4 linked regions of the Macaca mulatta genome follow. The protein of the gene in region 4 purifies or fractionates together with the protein of the main gene of each other region. This does not show direct contact. Links are inferred from orthologs where the notes say so. Each region holds a gene or a part of one and is shown on either strand. Other genes may lie near its edges.

Region 1 (4,068 bases), on a different chromosome or scaffold from region 4:
CTGTATGACCACACCTAAGTCCTGCCAGCAGGGGCAAAAATAACACATTTTATTTTTCTATTTTTAAAATTCACACATACGTCTGACATTTCTGATAATACCATACTCACCTTGATTGGCAGGGTACTGTTTATGAACATATGAATCCGTTGCATTCTGAGGACCCTTCTCTTTAAGATTTTCTTTCAAAGTAGGCATATGCAACACAGGACCATACTCATTACGAAGCTTGATTGCCATCTTCCGTTTGTGACTATTTAGAAATTATAAACATAAGAACGTATCCATAAATACTTTAAAACAAACACTTAGACAGCTTAAGTTTGCCCAATCATGTAGGAAAAGTTTCTAGTAAGATTTTAAGTAGTATTTAAAAGAATCAAAAATTTCCAAGTGCATTTCCCCACCATATCTGTTCTTTTGCTCACATTCCACCACACAGCATTCATTAAACCTAAGTAATATTTTAGTTTGTTACCTAATAGAAAATATTTTATGATAAATTATCAAGGGTCTGCTTGAAAGATATATAGAAACTAACATACCCTTTAAGAAACCTCAAAGTCAATACGCTTTCCTTCAAAATATAAATATAGTAAAAACTCTATAGCAACCTTTACTAGATGTATCCAAACAGGTTAGTTAGAACTAAGAAAAGTACTTAATTGGTTCAATATTTTAAAAAGAAATGCACTTATATTACTTTTAAAAATAGTCTACTTTACAAATTAAATATAAATGCTTGTTTGAGGAGTTAAGTCGATTTTAAAAGGGTAAAGGACAAAGAAGGAACACTGCACATAATGCAATCCCAGACTGGAGCTGGATATGTAGAACCAAAAATATGCCACCACTCAAAAATCTTCATCATACTAACGAGAAAAGATGGGAGTAGAGGTACCGGCCAGGTACAATTTCAGCTCAGCAAGGCTCTGAGAGCAGCGGGAAGCTGAAAGCACATACAAAGTGATTGATTATAAAATAAAATACCTAAAAGGGACTCTCTTATTTACTGGGTATTTGTAAAATGCAATTAATTAATGGAACTTTTACTGTAAAAGGCCAAAAAAAAAAAAGTTAAATCAGCTTAAATTATGCCAAAACACCACTCATTATTGAATTAGCCCATGAGTATTGCCAGTTTATCTTTAAAGGTCTCCCTCTTCCTGCTCTCTTCCCCCAGTATTAGAATGTTAAATATTTCAGCAATTGAAAAAAAAACTATACCAACCTCTCTTCATCTAAAGGCACAGGTTTTCCATTATCAGCTACAAACATGTCATGGGTCCTCTTCAATGACCTGAACACAAGTGTGTGTACAGAATGTTTCTGTACCTCCTAAAAAAAAAAAAAAAAAGTAATTACACACCTATCTACAAATTACACAAATCATAACCTAACGTCAGATTGATTATACACTTCACATGTTTAAATATGTAAAAAGCTTTATACCACTCACCATAGCTACTTGTTGCGAGCTACAGGAGTCAAGTTCAGAGAAGAGGAGGAAGCTCCTCTTTGGCTAGAACCTCAGGTATAGCAACTGAGTGATGCCATAGTTTAGTCATTTACTCAATAAATATTTACTGAGCTCCTACTGTGTGTCTGGCAGGTATCGTGCTAGACTCTCACAATAGAATGATAAAAGGTAGTCATGGTCCCTGTGCTCAAGAGGAAACAGACAAATAAAAAGTAAAATAATTCCACATTTTGATAAGTGCTATGAGGGCAACAAGCAAGGCACTGGGTCAGGAAACGAAGGACTAAGTATAATTGTGAAAGACTTCACTAAAGTGATATTTAAGCAGAAAGGGAGTTAGCCTTGCACAAAACAGAGATAAAAACGAACCAGGCTGATGGAAATGTCATGTAAAAAAATGTCATGTAAAAAAATTATTAACTGAAATAATACAAGAAGGGCGGCACAGCTGTATATGGTGGATGAGATGGTGCTTTGTGGTTGCAAGGGTAGACAAGGTCCAGATTAGGTAAGGTATTTTAGACTATTACAACAGCCTATGTTTTCTTCTAGCAACACAGTCAGTAAAGGGTTTTAAACAAGAAAGGTATGAACAACTTACATTTTAAACAGAACAACTTATGGAACAAAATGGAAGCAAGGAAATCAACGGGGAGCTAATGCACCAGGCCCGGTGAAAGATGATGTTGGTCTCAATTAAGGTGGACTGCAGTGGATACGGAGAAAAGTGAACGGAATCAATAAACATGGGGGGTAACATGGATAAGACCAGCTAACAGAATGGCTGGCTGTTCATGCCAGGGAAAGATGTAAAGAATGGCAAGTTTTTCTGGGAGTAGAGTTGAAATAAGAGACGACTTGAACGCAAGATAGAGAAGACCGCCAATCTTTTCGGGCACAGAATCACTGACACTGCCCCGAGGGCGGCGAGTACCAGTGGTCGAACACCAACAGAGGCCCCGCCTCCAAGGACAGTTTCCAGCTCCCAAGAGTCAAACGAGGACTGGACGAATTATCTCAGGCTTAGCGCCCGGACTGAACCTCCGACTCGGGTTCTCATCCGGCTTCTACCCCTTCCCCGAAAACCCGATGAAGAGACCACCCGGCCTTGGCCAAACAGCTTCCCTCGTAGCCTCTTTTCTCTCCGGACTCCAAGCACTCTCAATCCCCCACGCCCACTGCCAAAGAAAAACAGTCCAGAGACAAACGACTCTTGAGAGTCCCAGTGTCACTTTACCTCGACCATGATGCTACCGCGTATCCCACCTCCGGCAGGGAAGAAACCCTAATCACTAACGCAGTACCCGCCGCCACAACTGTGCTGCACCTTCCGGAATTGGGAGGCCAGGCGGCGGATGTGATGCAAGCTCTGCGCACGCGCGCTAGTCTCCCCCGGCCCTCTGGGATCAAGAGGCGGGTCTCCCTCCTCAGGACCGCCCCTAGGGCGGAGGCTCGAGGCTGTAGAGGGGAGACACCTGGAAGCGCCTGACTGGAGGATTTCACTCGCTCCTCTGAAGAAGTCTTCGAATTATGTTTTCTGCCTTACCTTCAGCCTTCAATGTCTTGGCTGGGGCCCTGGTTGTTCATGCTGTATTCCCCGGAGTTTAATGCTTTTTATTCAGAGAGCCTAAGCGTCTGGAGAGCAAACTCCCGTGGGCTCTATCTAAGGCGCTTCCGCTGCCTTGATCTCTTTGGAGGTCGCCTGCTTGCTTTCTGTCTCCTGGTTCCAATCCTGGCGAGAAGCACTTGGACACTTGTAGGCTTAACACCTGAAAACAATTTCTCTTAAACAGTTCAGTAAACACTTGCTGAGTGAATGTTGAGGAATGGCTGTTTTAATTTGGAAAATTTTGACATGTAGATATAAGAAAAACCCATATTCATTTTCTGCTAATAGATTTTTTTTTTTTTTTTAACTTCTCAACGCTACATAGCTCTTGGCCATTTCCTAGTTGTCTGCTGATTATTGTGGCTTCAACAATGCCAGGGTACAGCTTTTCAAAGCTGGTAGAAGAAAGACACAATTGGAGACTTTAGCCATTTTTATTTATACATATCCTTGTGCCAAGTATTGGTATTTTTGCTTCCTACCCTGGTAAAATCTCCGGTTTTGATCAACCCTACCTAATTATTTTTCTATGTAAAAAGAAAAATGGATGGACTTGGGCATTTGCAAACTTAAATAGACAAAACATTTTACTGGCCCTGTTTCAGTTTCACTGATCTGTCCTGACAGCGTACTGCATACACTTTGAGAGGGGGAAACAATCTAGCAAAAGAATAGCAGTGTAAATCAACGTCACTTGGAAATTCATTAAAAACATTAAGGTCATGGTTTTTTGTTTGTTTGAGAGGGAGTTTTGTTCTTGTCGCCCAGGCTGGAGGGCCATGGCGCAATCTTGGCTCACTGCAACCTCCTCCTCCCGGGTTCAAGCGAGTCTCCTGCCTCAGCCTCCGGAGTAGCTGGGATTACAGGCGCCCGCCACCACGCCCGGCTAATTTTTGTATTTTTAGTAGAGGCGGGGTTTCACCATGTTGGCCAGGCTGGTCTTAAACTCCTGACCTCAGGTGATCTGCCCCTCTCGGCC
Region 2 (4,219 bases), on a different chromosome or scaffold from region 4:
ACCTGTAAACTGTGAAATTTAAACAAATATATAACTCTCTCTACATATTTAAAGAAACAGCATAGTCTTACTCATAGGGTTTTATTTTAAAACCCAATTATAATCTCTTTAAAAATAGAAAACTGGCAAGCACAAAGACTCAATATATTTATAAAAAGGTGACTGCAGTATCTGGCATATCAGAGGCACTCACAAAGTCTGATGGATAAATGGATGGACAAATGAAGCAAAATCTGAAATGTTACTTCTGTGAGGCTGTCCTCAACACTACCTGATGGCGACAATTGCTTTTTCATCTTCATTTTGTATATAACTCTTTATAATCTTACCTTTCTACATTATAAATATTTGATTGCTTATCCAACTTTCCTTCTCACTTAATTGGAATACTTAAGAGATGGGACCTGTTTTCTTTGCTTTCATAGCTCAGCGATAAACTGCACAGACAACACACTTAAAGAGCCTCCCAAGCAGTTAGGACACTGGCCCTGAGGAATAGCCTCTAAAAATATTACAGTAACTTCCTACTTAAATGACACCTTCCGGCCAGGTGTGGTGGCTCACGCCTGTAATCTCAGCACTCTGGGAGGCCGAGGCGGGTGGATCACCTGAGGTCAGGAGTTCAAGACCAGCCTTGCCAATATGGTAAAACCCCATCTCTACTAAAAATACAAAAATTAGCCGGGCGTGGTTGTGTACCTATAATCTCAGCTACTCGGGAGGCTGAGGCAGGAGAACCGCTTGAACCTGGGAGGCGGAGATTGCAGTGAGCCAACACCAAGCCACTGCACTCCAGCCTGGGCAACAGAGCAAGACTCCATCTCAAAAATAAATAAATAAATAACACCTTCCCAAATTACCAATCACTCTCCAACTCAATAGAAAATCTTCACCTCACCCCCAGTTATTCTGGGGAGGATCTTGGTTCATTGCAACCTCCGCCTTCCGGGTTCAAGCAATTCTCTAGCCTCAGTCTCCTGAGAAGCTGGGATTACAGGCATGCGCCACCACACCTGGATAATTCTGTATTTTTAGCAGAGACGGGGTTTCTCCATGTTGGTCAGGCTGGTCTAAAACTCTGACCGCAGGTGATCCACCAGCCTCGGCCTCCCAAAGTGCTGGTATTACAGGAATGAGCCACCGTGCCCGGTTGAAGATTTTAAGGACAGTCAGCCTTAGTGTAGTTCCCTGTAGTCCCCGCTACAAGGGAGGCTGAGGTGGAAGGATCACTTGAGCCCGGGCAACATAGTGAGACCCTATCTTGAAAGAAGAAAAGGAAGGAAAGGAAGGGAGAGATTTTAAGAAGGCAAGTGATATGATGAGATTTGCACTTGTATAAAATCACTCGGAAAGCAACATGAAGAATGGGCTAGAGGACAGCAAGAAGAAGAACAATATAACAGATTAGGATACCTTCGTCCAGGCAGAAAACAATGGCAACCAGGCTTAGGGTGACAGAGATGTAGAACACCAGATAGATTCCAAAGATACTCAGAATGTAGAAATGTAGGGATTAAGGGAGGATTCAAAATTTCTCCCTGGGCTTCTGCCCTGACAAATCTGTTGAGACAAGGAATAAAGAATAAAGAAGCAGGTGGGCATGATAACTTCTACACTGAACTACTTACACTCTTACCCAATTCGCAAATAAAGAGTAAGAATGAGGAATGATGCTGACAACCACAGGACTGTGTTTCCCTATCCAAAGCCAACTGTGGCTCACAATGCAAGATAGTAAACAGATTCTAAATGAACGCTCTCCAACTACAGAATCACTCTCTTCTTAAATGGGTCTATTTGGAGGTGTCTTGTCAGTTTCTCATAGCTGCTCAAAAACTCAGGACACTCTACGGACCAGGAAAAAGCCTACTCCTACTTGAAGAGGCAGTCCAGCATCACTCTGCTGCGAAGGCTGCTTGACAGTCTCAGATAGATTGGGGTGTTCCCTCCTCTCTGAATCAATTGCTCCTGAGGCAAACTCCAATACAGCAAAACTCATAGAGTAGTTTTCTTTTTATGTGTCTTTTTTTTTTTTTTTTTTTTTTTTTTTTGAGACGGAGTCTCGCTCTGTCGCCCAGGCTGGAGTGCAGTGGCCGGATCTCAGCTCACTGCAAGCTCCGTGTCCCGGGTTTACGCCATTCTCCTGCCTCAGCCTCCCGAGTAGCCGGGACTACAGGCGCCGCCACCTCGCCCGGCTAGGTTTTTTGTATTTTTTAGTAGAGACGGGGTTTCACCGTGTTAGCCAGGATGGTCTCCATCTCCTGACCTCGTGATCCGCCCGTTTCGGCCTCCCAAAGTGCTGGGATTACAGGCTTGAGCCACCGCACCCGGCCTATGTGTCTTTCTTAGGCCATGAACCCCTCAGGCCAGGGCAACCCATCCACCACGGTATGCCCAGCACCTAGCGTAGCTGCCGGCACGGAGCTCATACTCAGCAAAAAAGACTTGTGTGAATGAATTAACAAACGAATGCCTCCTCCGTGCTCCTAGTCCTGGAAAAAAAAAGAAAAAACCCCACCACCAGGCCTCGGGGCCACGACGTCCTTACCCCCTCACACATACACCAGACTCGCCCGAGCTCACCTGGGTCACGAACTCCGCGTTAATCTGGGACACCGTAGGAGCCACGATCTTCTTGGGCTGTGCAGGGGCTGCCATGGTAGCACGCTCCCCTCCACTCCGGTGGAAACGAAAGGACCGCCCTGGGCAGCGGCAAGCCTGGTCCACTTCCCCTAAGTTACGGCCGAGGCGCTTAACTCCGCGCTGAACAAACGTTGCGCGCCGGATATCCTCAGGCTTCAGAGTCCCATAGGGAACCCGTACTACAGCCCAAGCGTTCCCCGGGAAGCGGAATGGCGTGTAGCCGGAAGTTCATGCAGGCGTTGGGGCTGAGCTAGCGAGCCAAAAGCTTTGACCTCCTCTGTACGCGCCCTCTAGCGGGCGGCAGAGAGAAGACACCCCGCTGGCGGGATTAGGAGGGCAAGGCAGGGACCCGGTGGATGGTGTTGGATGGGGTTTCTCGTGGTTAGTGAGGAGCAGCGTGTGCGGTGAATGAGAATTTAGGTTTTTTTCAACCCCGAAGAAAAAACAAAACAAAACAAACAAACAAACAAAAAAACAGCCTGGGAATATGGGCTGGTTTTTAACTGCCCTTAACAGTGTTGTAGTTTAGTTTTGTTTTTCTTGAGACGGCGTTTCGCTCTTGTTGCCCGGGCTGGAGTGCAGTGGCGCAATCTCGGCTCACTGCAACCTCCGCCTCCCGGGTTCAAGCGATTCTCCTGCCTCAGCCTCCCGAGTTGCTGGGATTACAGGGATTACAGGCATGCGCCACCACACCCGGCTAATTTTTGTATTTTTAGTGAGATGGGGTTTCTCTATGTTGGTCAGGCTGGTCTCGAACTCCCCGACCTCAGGTGATCCACCTGCCTCGGCCTCCCAAAGGGCTGGGATTACAGGCCTTAACAGTTTTATGGCGGTAAAAACTGACATACCATAACCCAGCCGGGCGCGGTGGCTCATGCCTGTAATCCCAGCATTTTGGGAGGCTGAAGCTGGCCGATTGCCTGAGGTCAGGAATTCGAGACCAACCTCGCTAACATGGTGAAACCCCGTCTCTACTAAAAAATACAAAAAAATTAGCCGGGCATGGTGGCGCTCGCCTGTAGTCCCAGCTACTCGGATTCAGGAGAATCTCTTGAAGCAGGGAGGCAGAGGTTGCAGTGAGCCAAGATTGTGCCATTGCACTCCAGCCTGGTGACAGAGCGAGACTCGTCTCAAAAAACAAAAATAAAATAATAATAAAAATAATTGACATACAATAACCCACACATATTTAGGTTGTAAAATTTGATGCGTTTTGACATGAACATACATTTGTGAAACTGTTGCCAAAATCATGATAATGAGCCCCTAAAAATTTCCTCCTGCACTTTTGCAATCTGTACCTTTCACTATTCCCACCCACTTTCCAGGCAACCACTGATCTGCTTTCTGTCACCAAAGTTTGCTTTTCGTGAAATTTTATATAAATGAAATAATACAGTGCATGCCTTCTTTCACTCAACGAAATGATTTTGAGATGGATTCATGTTGTTGCATGTATCAGTAGTTCATTCCTTTTTTATTGCTTAACATTCATTCCATTTTACTGGCATACCACAGTTTGATAAACTATTCATCTGCTGATAGACATCTGAGTTGTTCCAAGTTCTTAGTTACT
Region 3 (4,224 bases), on a different chromosome or scaffold from region 4:
TGAAATTCCACTGGAATGTTCAGCATTAACTATGCCATAAGTACCAATATTTTTTCTCCAGCAGCTTCTTCCCCTTAGTAAACAAAGGGTCAAATCTCTTATCTTAGAAAAATGAAGTTTCTCCTCTGCCTCCATGTTCCTTTCTGCCGCTGCCTTCTCCCGCCCCATCCTCTGGCAGCTTAACATCCTGAGTTCTCTTCAGTTTGCTGATCCCACTTCCCTGCCTCCCATTTGGTCCCCATTCATTTTAAGTGCTCTTGACAAAGTCAAAAACGACTGCCCACAGCCATTATCTGGGTGTGAATGGTAACCACTCCTTCATGAAAACTCTCAACTCCTAGACCCCATTCTTACCTGTCTTCCCATCTTGCTCACCATTCCATCCAAGTTTCCTTCCTGGCCTGTTTCACCTCCTGCTCTGTGAAGTTGGAGATCCCCGCTCCCACCGCCCAATTCTGTTCTTGGTTCTCTTCTCAGTTTTGACAGTGTCCTCCACTTCCCCTCCTGCCTCTATACAATCTGGCCCAAACTGATGTCCCAGAACACTCTTGCGTACTGAACAGCTTCGGGTCCAGCTAACTACTGGGCACTTTCATCTCTAACCTCTTTCCTCAGGAATAGCTACTCAGTCGTCCATGCCACAAAGTTGGGGCTCCTCTCTCTTCCTCAGCTTCCACACTCAATAATAATAACATTGATCAAGTTGGGCACAATGGCTTGCACCTATAATCCCGGTGAGTCAGGAGGCTGAGGTAGGAGGATTGCTTGAGCCCAGGAATTCAAGGCTTCAGTAAGCTACGACTGCACCACTGCATTCCAGCCTGGGTGACAGAACGACACCCGGTCTCTTAAAAAAAACTTTTATCAAGCACTGAGTAGATTCCAGGTATTTTTCCCAAGCACTTTAAATATACTAATTCTTATAACTCTTATAAGAAGCCTATAAGATTAAGTACTCTTTTTTTTTGAGACTCTCTCTTGCTGTCGCCCAGGCTGGAGTGCAGTGGCATGATCTTGGCTCACTGCAACCTCCGCTTCCCAGGTTCAAGTAATTCTCTCCCGAATAGTGGGGATTACAAACATGCACCACACCTGGCTAATTTTTTTTACTTTTAGTAGAGACAGGGTTTTGCCATGTTGGCCAGGCTGGTCTCAAACTCCTGACCTCAAGTGATCTGTCTGCCTCGGCCTCCTAAAGTGCTGGAATTACACGCGTGAGCCACTGGGCCGGCCAAGTACTCTTAATATCTCCACATTACAGATGACAAAACTGAGAGATGGAGAGCTTAATGTCCAACTGGCAGAACCAGAATTCTAACACACCACTCTGGCTGGAAAGCCTGCCCACCCCTCTGCCCTAATCTAGGCCAGGCCTTCAGCCCCTTGGAATAGCGTGACTGGCCTCCCCTCCTCGTAGTGACTCTCCACATGCCTGCCTACCTGAATTTCTGAAACACAAATGTCACTATTTGGCTTAAAACTCTCCCTTTTCTTCCCATTGTCTACAAGGAAAAGTTCAAATCCTAAGAAAGAATTGCATCTCCTGTCACCACGCTCTATGCTTCAACACTTGTTCATTTACTCTTGATCAGAGACACCGTTTGATTCTTAACTCAGTGTCTTTGTGCATATTATCTGGCCATTACCTTATTTTCTCCCAACGCCTGGGAAAATGCCAGGGACACACAGGTACTTAAATATCTGTGGAAAAGGCATGGCTTCTTCAGTCATGTCCCCCTCATTCCAAACCCAAAGCAATGATCAGCATATATGCTCAATAAATATTTGCTGGATGAATAAAGGATGTTATTTCCCTTCCCTAGTCACCTGCCTGGCAAACTCCCATTCCTTCTTCTAAAAGAAATTTACCTCTCACTCCCGTGGGCTTCCCTACCTTAATATCCCTTCTACTCCAGCAAGCAATGTTGACTAGATTTGTACCTGAAACTTCTATCACAGGGCATATCACACCGTACTACAATGGTTTATACACATTTGAGATTCGAGAGGTTTATTAAGGGCGGGCTGACACTGTATCATTGACGGCCATCGGAACAATAAACATTTGGTGAGCATTCTCGTGTATCTGTCTTCTCGTTAGCCTGTGAGCTCCCCGTGCCCCATTCATTCCGGTAACGTGGGAGCGTGGCACGGTGTCTGGCTTGGGGCAGACACCGAAATAGATGCTGAGAATTAACATCCAAAGATGTACCGCCCAGGCTGGGAAAGTGGGCATTACTGGGGAAAGGCTGGGGCCGGTGGCCCCAACTGCCACAGAAGATCACAGGATGGGCTGGATCAGCGCCTCTCACACTTACAAATCAATCACCTTAGGATTTTGTTCAAATGTAAGATCCCTATTTAAAAGGTCTAGGGCGGAGACTCCACATTTCTAAGCTCTCGGCTCGTGCCGACGCGGCTGCTCCGCGGACCACTTTGAGAACCCCGTTCAGAGCAGCTGGTTTCGTTACCAGAACCACCACCATAGCGCGGGAAGCGCGCAGCCTCCTGGGATTTGCAGTCCCTCCAAGCCCTTCATAGCGGCCGCTTATTCCCGCTCAAGTAAGTAGCGCCCAGGCCCACGCTCCGGCTGCAGGTTGAGGGGCGGGGGAGAGGTACCTGTTTGGGCTCGGTGGCCACGGGCGGCGGCGGGGGCACCGCCTGCACGGGTCCGGCCGGCATGACTGCGACGCTGAGGGCTGCCAGTCCGCCTCGGTGTCGGTGAGGAGTGCCGCCTCAAGACAGCCTCCCCGCTCGAACAGTACGACGAGCTCGCAAAATGGCGGCAGCCGAGCGAGTTGTGGCCGCGAAGGTAAGACTGACGCACTTCCGGGACCGCCCCCTCGCCGTGGCGCGCTTCCTGCTCCTCCCCGCGGGCACCGCGGCGTCCGACGCCGTTGTCAAGGCAGCGGCTGGAGCTCCGGGCTAGGGGTTTCCGGGGTTCCCGGGAGCCGCAGGCGCGCCGGGGGCAGTTCCCGGGGCTGACCGGATACAGAGGCTGAAACCGCGACGCCGAAGACAGGTGAGATGTTCTACGTCACCCGCCGGACCTCCGCCGCACTCAGCTCGCGCCTCCTTTACTCTACAGTGCCTCGCTCAGTGCCAGTGCCTCGCTCCCTTCGACACCGCCTTCCAAGAGCCCAGCTCCCTCCCATTGGCCTCTCATTTCGGAGAGCCCCTGTGCCCTAAGGCTCGCCGCCTCAGAGCCCCGCTTCCCTATTCCCTTAGTCCCCCCTTTCATTTCAGGCCCACATCCTCCAAGCCGCTCTTCCAAATCCTACGCCCTTAATTCCCTTTTCCCATAGGCCTGCCTTTTCTTGCTTCCACCCCCTGCCTTCCGTAGTCCTGATCTCAAGCCCCACTGGGGCCTCCCTCTCAAATCAAGGCTGCTGCTTTTTCTTTCTTTTTTGTTTTTTTCTGAGACAAGGTCTTGTTCTGTCACCCAGGCTGGAGTGCAGTGGCGCGATCTTGGCTCACTGAAACCTCCGCCTCCCGAGTTCAATCGCTGAGTTCAAGCAATTGTCCTGCCTCAGCCTCCCGAGTGGCTGGGACTACAGGCGCCCACCACATCCGGCCGTGTGTGTGTGTGTGTGTGTGTGTGTGTGTGTGTGTTTTGTAGAGACGGGGTTTCACCACGTTGGCCAGGCTGGTCTCGAACTCCTGACCTCAAATGATCCTCCCGCCTCGGCTTCCCAAAGTGTTAGGGTTACAGGCGTGAGCCACCGCGCCCGGCCAGTTTTAAAATTTTTTTTGTAGGGACGTGGGAGGACGTCTCCCTATGTTGCCCAGGCTGGTCTCAAACTCATGGAGTCAAGCAATCCTCCCACCTGGCCTCCCAAAGTGCTGGGGTTACACGCATGAGCCATCACTCAGGGCTGCTGCTTTAGGCTTCACCCCTCACTCTCACAGGTGCGCCCCTGCAAGCTATGCAGCTCGCTCCCCAGAGGCCTACCTCGACTCCTGCCGGCTTTCTCTCCCTCTCCTGAGATCCCCACCCCCTTCCTCCCCTCCTCAACTCCGGAAAGCCCGGAGCTGGCTGGGAACCTTGCCTGGCTTTCAGTTTCCTCACCTGTGAAATGAGGGAGTGATAGGAAGGGTTGCTCTCTCCAGTCTTCCCCCTCCCCCGCACACATCGTAGTTGTGTGTCATGGTTGTTATTAATGTAGAATAATGATAGCTAGGATGTATTGGTCATTTGCTATGAGCCGGATCCTGTGCCCAACA
Region 4 (4,121 bases):
TAGTGTCCAGCCTGGGCCCCATGGGTCCAGCCTCAGTCCTGACTGGTCCAGCTTAGAATCCAAATGTCACAGAACAGATACTGTAAGTTTGAGCAAACCATGCCCCACTCCCGCCCAGCTGATGCTTCCACTCTCCACCCTGCCTGCTTCTCCCCACCTCCTATTCCTGGCCCTCATCATGGCTGTGGTTTTACTCTAGTTCATGCCATCAGCTCACATACATCCGTCTTCCTAGTTAGACTAAAAGCTCCATGCAGGTAGGGAGTGTCTTAGCCACACTGTCCTCAGCACCCATCTCTATGCCTAATGTGAAACTGGCGTGAGCAAACTATTTGGAAAATAAAGACATGAATCACGGACAAGACATATGCATCTCCTGGTGCCTCTTCCCACATCCAGTCTGCTGGGTGACATCCTATACGGAGCTAGTGTCACAGTGAGGCAGTTTCTGGAAACTAACCTGGGGAACCAGCGTACCTGCTGGGCTCACCTTGAGGAAGCGCCGATAGCCTCGCACAGCTGTCTCGGGCAGTGGGTGTGAGCGCAGGAAGCGCAGATACAGGGGCCAAATTCGAGAGTGCTGCGTGATGGGCAGTGCCCGGAGGGCACGGTCGAAGGTGCGGCGGGTGTGTGTGACGCGCCCCTGGTCCATGAGGAACTGGCAGTAATCTAGCCACAGACGGGGCATCTGGGGGTGTGGGGAGAGGCAGCTGGGGCTAAGCCACGGACTCCATGGCCTACCCACAGACACTTGATGTCCTGTGGCTGAGTCACACCTGGGGCCTCCACATAAATGCAGCAGGACCCAGAAACCCCCAGCTCCAGGACTGAGTCCAGCCCAACTTCCCATGCACAGAAGCAACAGGAATCCAGGCCCCCATCCCTAACATGCTGAGCCCAGCCCCTGTCCCTGCCCCACCCACCACCATGGACTGAGCGCCCCCTCCCGATTTATCCCCTCGCCTAGCCCCAGACCTTGTGCATGAACACAAAGGCCCTCTCATGGCAGTTGTTGACATCTTCGTAGGCGGGGTCGGTCACACAGCGATGCTTCACCTGTGCCCGACGTGCCTTCAGGTATCGGTACCAGAGTTTGTAGCTGGGGAACAGGAGGGGACAGATGCTGATCGGTCAGCTTTATGGACCCCCCCCCAGAACCATCTGCCCTGCCCCTGTTGGCAAATGTGGGTGTGGGAGGGGTGACATGTCTCAGCAATGACAGGGACAGACTGGGACATCAGAGGAGGTGTGCTGACCCATCAAGGGATGTACAGGTCAGTGATGGGACACAAAGCAATCACCTGGGACCTACTTGGCAGTTTTGTTATAACTGGACCGGGGGGGCAGGGGCTGGTGGGCAGGGCAGCTGGAGCCATTCCCACCTGCAAGGTAGCAGCTTGAGTGCCCGCTCATATAGCTGATTGAGCCTGGGCTTCGGGGCACCCTGTTTGAACTCGATGTAGCGAAGCCAGCATTTGACAGAGAACTGGTTCCGCATGATTTCCTCCTCATAGGGGAGGTCCTCTTCCTCCTGCCAGGGCCAGGGAATGGGGAGAAGAGAGGTCTACCCTCAGAGCCTGCGTGCGGCACCACCCCACTACTGGGGCTCAGGTCCAAACTCTGGACTTTTACCCAGATCCCACCACCCACCAAGGAAGTCAGGTCACCAGATGCCCAGGCACCAAACCAGGCACCAAACCAGATGCCCAGACACCAAGACACTGGCCCAGACCTTTACCCCTCAGAATTCAACTACCCAAAATTGAACCCAAATCATCAGACTTCTCAGTTATTAGGGCTCTGGGCCAGGCATGAGTCCACATCACCACTCGCTTTCTGCCCCAAATGGTCAGACTCCTTAGCTACCAAGGCCCTGGCCCAGATGCCAGGCCTCTGTCCTGGACACCAGACCCCACTTCTTCAAAACATGCCTCTTCCCAGACACCAGGCCTTTGGCCCCTCAGACTCCCACTGTCACCAACTGACCCATCTCCACTCCAGGCCCAGACGACCAGATCTTCACCCCAGCCACCAGGGCTCTCAGGTCCAGATTTCAAGCCACTGGCCCCACCCCCAGGATCCCACTAGCCAGCATCTAGCTCAACTCTGCCCCAGAAGTTAAAAGCTAGGACTTTATCTCATAAGAGCAGTTATACACCAGAAGCCAAGCCTTTAACTCTGCACACCAAGAATCTGGTGAAGATGTCACGCCTCTACTCCAGACAATAAGCATTTCATTGGCCATTGCCTGACAAGCTCCACAACACCAGGGTTCTTCTAGCCTGGCCACCACCCCCAGAAACTGTCATGCCGCAGTCCAGACCTAGAGACCGCTATCTAGAAAACCAAGCCTTCATTCCAGAAACCGGAGCCCTGGCCTCGTAATCACGCCTTTACTTCAGACACCGGTCTTCACTTCTCAACGTTCAATTATGCGGTCTCCTTCCTCTCCCATTCCCTGCAAGCCCCCATTTCCGCCCCTGGCTCGGGAGGCTAGACGCTTTCCTTCGACAGTAGTTTTCTACTCATACCCTAAGACACAACACCGTATTTTTTACTCCTGGCCAGTTAGGTGTGGACATCACAATCCGGTCTCTGGCCCGTTAGGGTCCCCAATCCTTGGCCTGGCAATTTTGGCCTAAATCCCCTTGGCGACCCGGCCCCGATCCCCTGCGGCGTCCAGGTCCCAATGCCCCAATGCAGGCCACCCCTGGCTCCTCTGTGGACTCACGAAGACAAGGTCCGGCCGCTCGGGCCGCGAGAGTCGCGCCATCACCACCATTTTCCTGGATGCCCAGGTACAGGCGAGAGTCGCGCGCTTATGACATCTACCACTGACGGCCCGCCCCTCCGGGCCAGGCCCGTTTTCTATTGGTTAAATCCTTTTTGACGGACAGGCTCACGTTATTGACTTCGTTTCGAAGACGCCAGCGACCGGAAGCAACATAGAGACGCCCGAATATACGTCATCAGGATACACATTGGCCAATCAGCTTCAGCAATGGAGCGTGCAAAACACCAATGAGCTTCTGTCTTGCTGGAGGGTCGGCTTTGGGCGGAAGTTGCTTTGTTGACCGGGAGAAACGAGATGGGGGTGAAGCTGGAGATATTTCGGGTCAGTGGACACAGGAGTGGATTGGGAGGCTGAGCAGGGGATCTTCCTGGATCTGAAGATGAGGCTGGAAATGGGGGTCTTAAAAGAAAGAGGGTGCTCCAAGGAGAAAGCTCTTAAGATTTGAGAGGGACCTTTCTGGTTGGAAATCCAGGAGAGGGGACGCTGGGTTGTGGGGTGGGGGGGTTCTCAGATTTGGGCTTCTGGGTTTGGGGGCTGTGAGAGGGCTGGTCCGAGGAAAGACCTCAGAGAGGGGTTGGCTGAGAAGGGGGCTCTAAAGAAGGAAGACTTAAGATCCTGGGGGAGCTCTCGGGCTTGTGGTGGGTGGGTGTCTATGATAGGGAGACTCCCAGACTTCGAGAAGTGAAGTTGAAGAGTGACGCCTCCTGGGTTTGGGGGTGCTCCCGGGATCTTAAGTGGGGATGAGTAATGAGGTCTCGAGGAGATGCTTTTGATTGTAGCTCGGGCCTCTGTATGTCTGTCTGTCTTTGAGAGGAAGACTCCAGCTCAGGGGGGACTTTCAGGAATGAAGCCTCCTGGATTATAGAAGTTAGGTTTTAGGATGCGAGGTTTCTGTACCCTTGGTGGGAGTTCTGGGGTTCTTGGGTCGGCCCTAACGAGGCGCTTCTGGACTCTGCAGTAGGATGGGTCCCCCAGGCTCTGAGCAGCCTCTGCACATTGCTTGGGGCGAGGGGGGCGGTCACCTCACCCACCCTCTGCCATTCCAGATGATACTCTACCTCACTTTCCCTGTGGCTATGTTCTGGGTTTCCAATCAGGCCGAGTGGTTTGAGGGCTACGTCATACAGCGCAAGGTGGGCATAAGAGGAGTGTTCGAGGGTTCACTCCAGGGGTGGGAGAGGGTGCGGGGCACCAATCTGCTGGGAGCCAATGTCTGCCTCCCATGAGCTGACCCTACCCTGGTGTGGGGCTCTGGAGGCTCTTGGCTTGTGTCCCAGTTGTGACTTTTCCTTACAGAGGGAGCTGTGGACACCTGAGAAGGTAAGTG

What was found. The genes of interacting proteins can lie anywhere in the genome.
Region 1: the proteins of XAB2 (region 4) and PLRG1 purify together in Homo sapiens (affinity purification with mass spectrometry; 3 studies listed by BioGRID and IntAct, counting the BioPlex papers as one, with this or other methods). This does not show direct contact. The link is inferred for Macaca mulatta from reciprocal best matches to the Homo sapiens genes XAB2 and PLRG1.
Region 2: the proteins of XAB2 (region 4) and AQR fractionate together in Homo sapiens (co-fractionation; 3 studies listed by BioGRID and IntAct, with this or other methods). This does not show direct contact. The link is inferred for Macaca mulatta from reciprocal best matches to the Homo sapiens genes XAB2 and AQR.
Region 3: the proteins of XAB2 (region 4) and SF3A1 fractionate together in Homo sapiens (co-fractionation; 3 studies listed by BioGRID and IntAct, with this or other methods). This does not show direct contact. The link is inferred for Macaca mulatta from reciprocal best matches to the Homo sapiens genes XAB2 and SF3A1.

The regions. Positions count from the first base shown.
Region 1 is NC_133410.1:163,143,580-163,147,647, forward strand, and holds the start of PLRG1 (pleiotropic regulator 1), read right to left. Parts: upstream 2,801-4,068; 5' UTR 2,727-2,800; coding exon 2,718-2,726; intron 1,339-2,717; coding exon 1,232-1,338; intron 254-1,231; coding exon 111-253; intron 1-110. UniProt on the Homo sapiens protein: Involved in pre-mRNA splicing as component of the spliceosome. Component of the PRP19-CDC5L complex that forms an integral part of the spliceosome and is required for activating pre-mRNA splicing.
Region 2 is NC_133412.1:12,297,815-12,302,033, forward strand, and holds the start of AQR (RNA helicase aquarius), read right to left. Parts: upstream 2,801-4,219; 5' UTR 2,659-2,800; coding exon 2,584-2,658; intron 1-2,583.
Region 3 is NC_133415.1:21,188,072-21,192,295, reverse strand, and holds the start of SF3A1 (splicing factor 3A subunit 1), read right to left. Parts: upstream 2,801-4,224; 5' UTR 2,683-2,800; coding exon 2,620-2,682; exon of another isoform or gene 2,521-2,619; intron 1-2,520. UniProt on the Homo sapiens protein: Component of the 17S U2 SnRNP complex of the spliceosome, a large ribonucleoprotein complex that removes introns from transcribed pre-mRNAs.
Region 4 is NC_133424.1:8,521,339-8,525,459, forward strand, and holds the start of XAB2 (pre-mRNA-splicing factor SYF1), read right to left. Parts: upstream 2,801-4,121; 5' UTR 2,783-2,800; coding exon 2,732-2,782; intron 1,532-2,731; coding exon 1,383-1,531; intron 1,100-1,382; coding exon 976-1,099; intron 689-975; coding exon 491-688; intron 1-490. Other genes in the region: protein PET100 homolog, mitochondrial, read left to right, coding at 3,089-3,115, 3,841-3,927, 4,091-4,114. UniProt on the Homo sapiens protein: Involved in pre-mRNA splicing as component of the spliceosome. Involved in transcription-coupled repair (TCR), transcription and pre-mRNA splicing.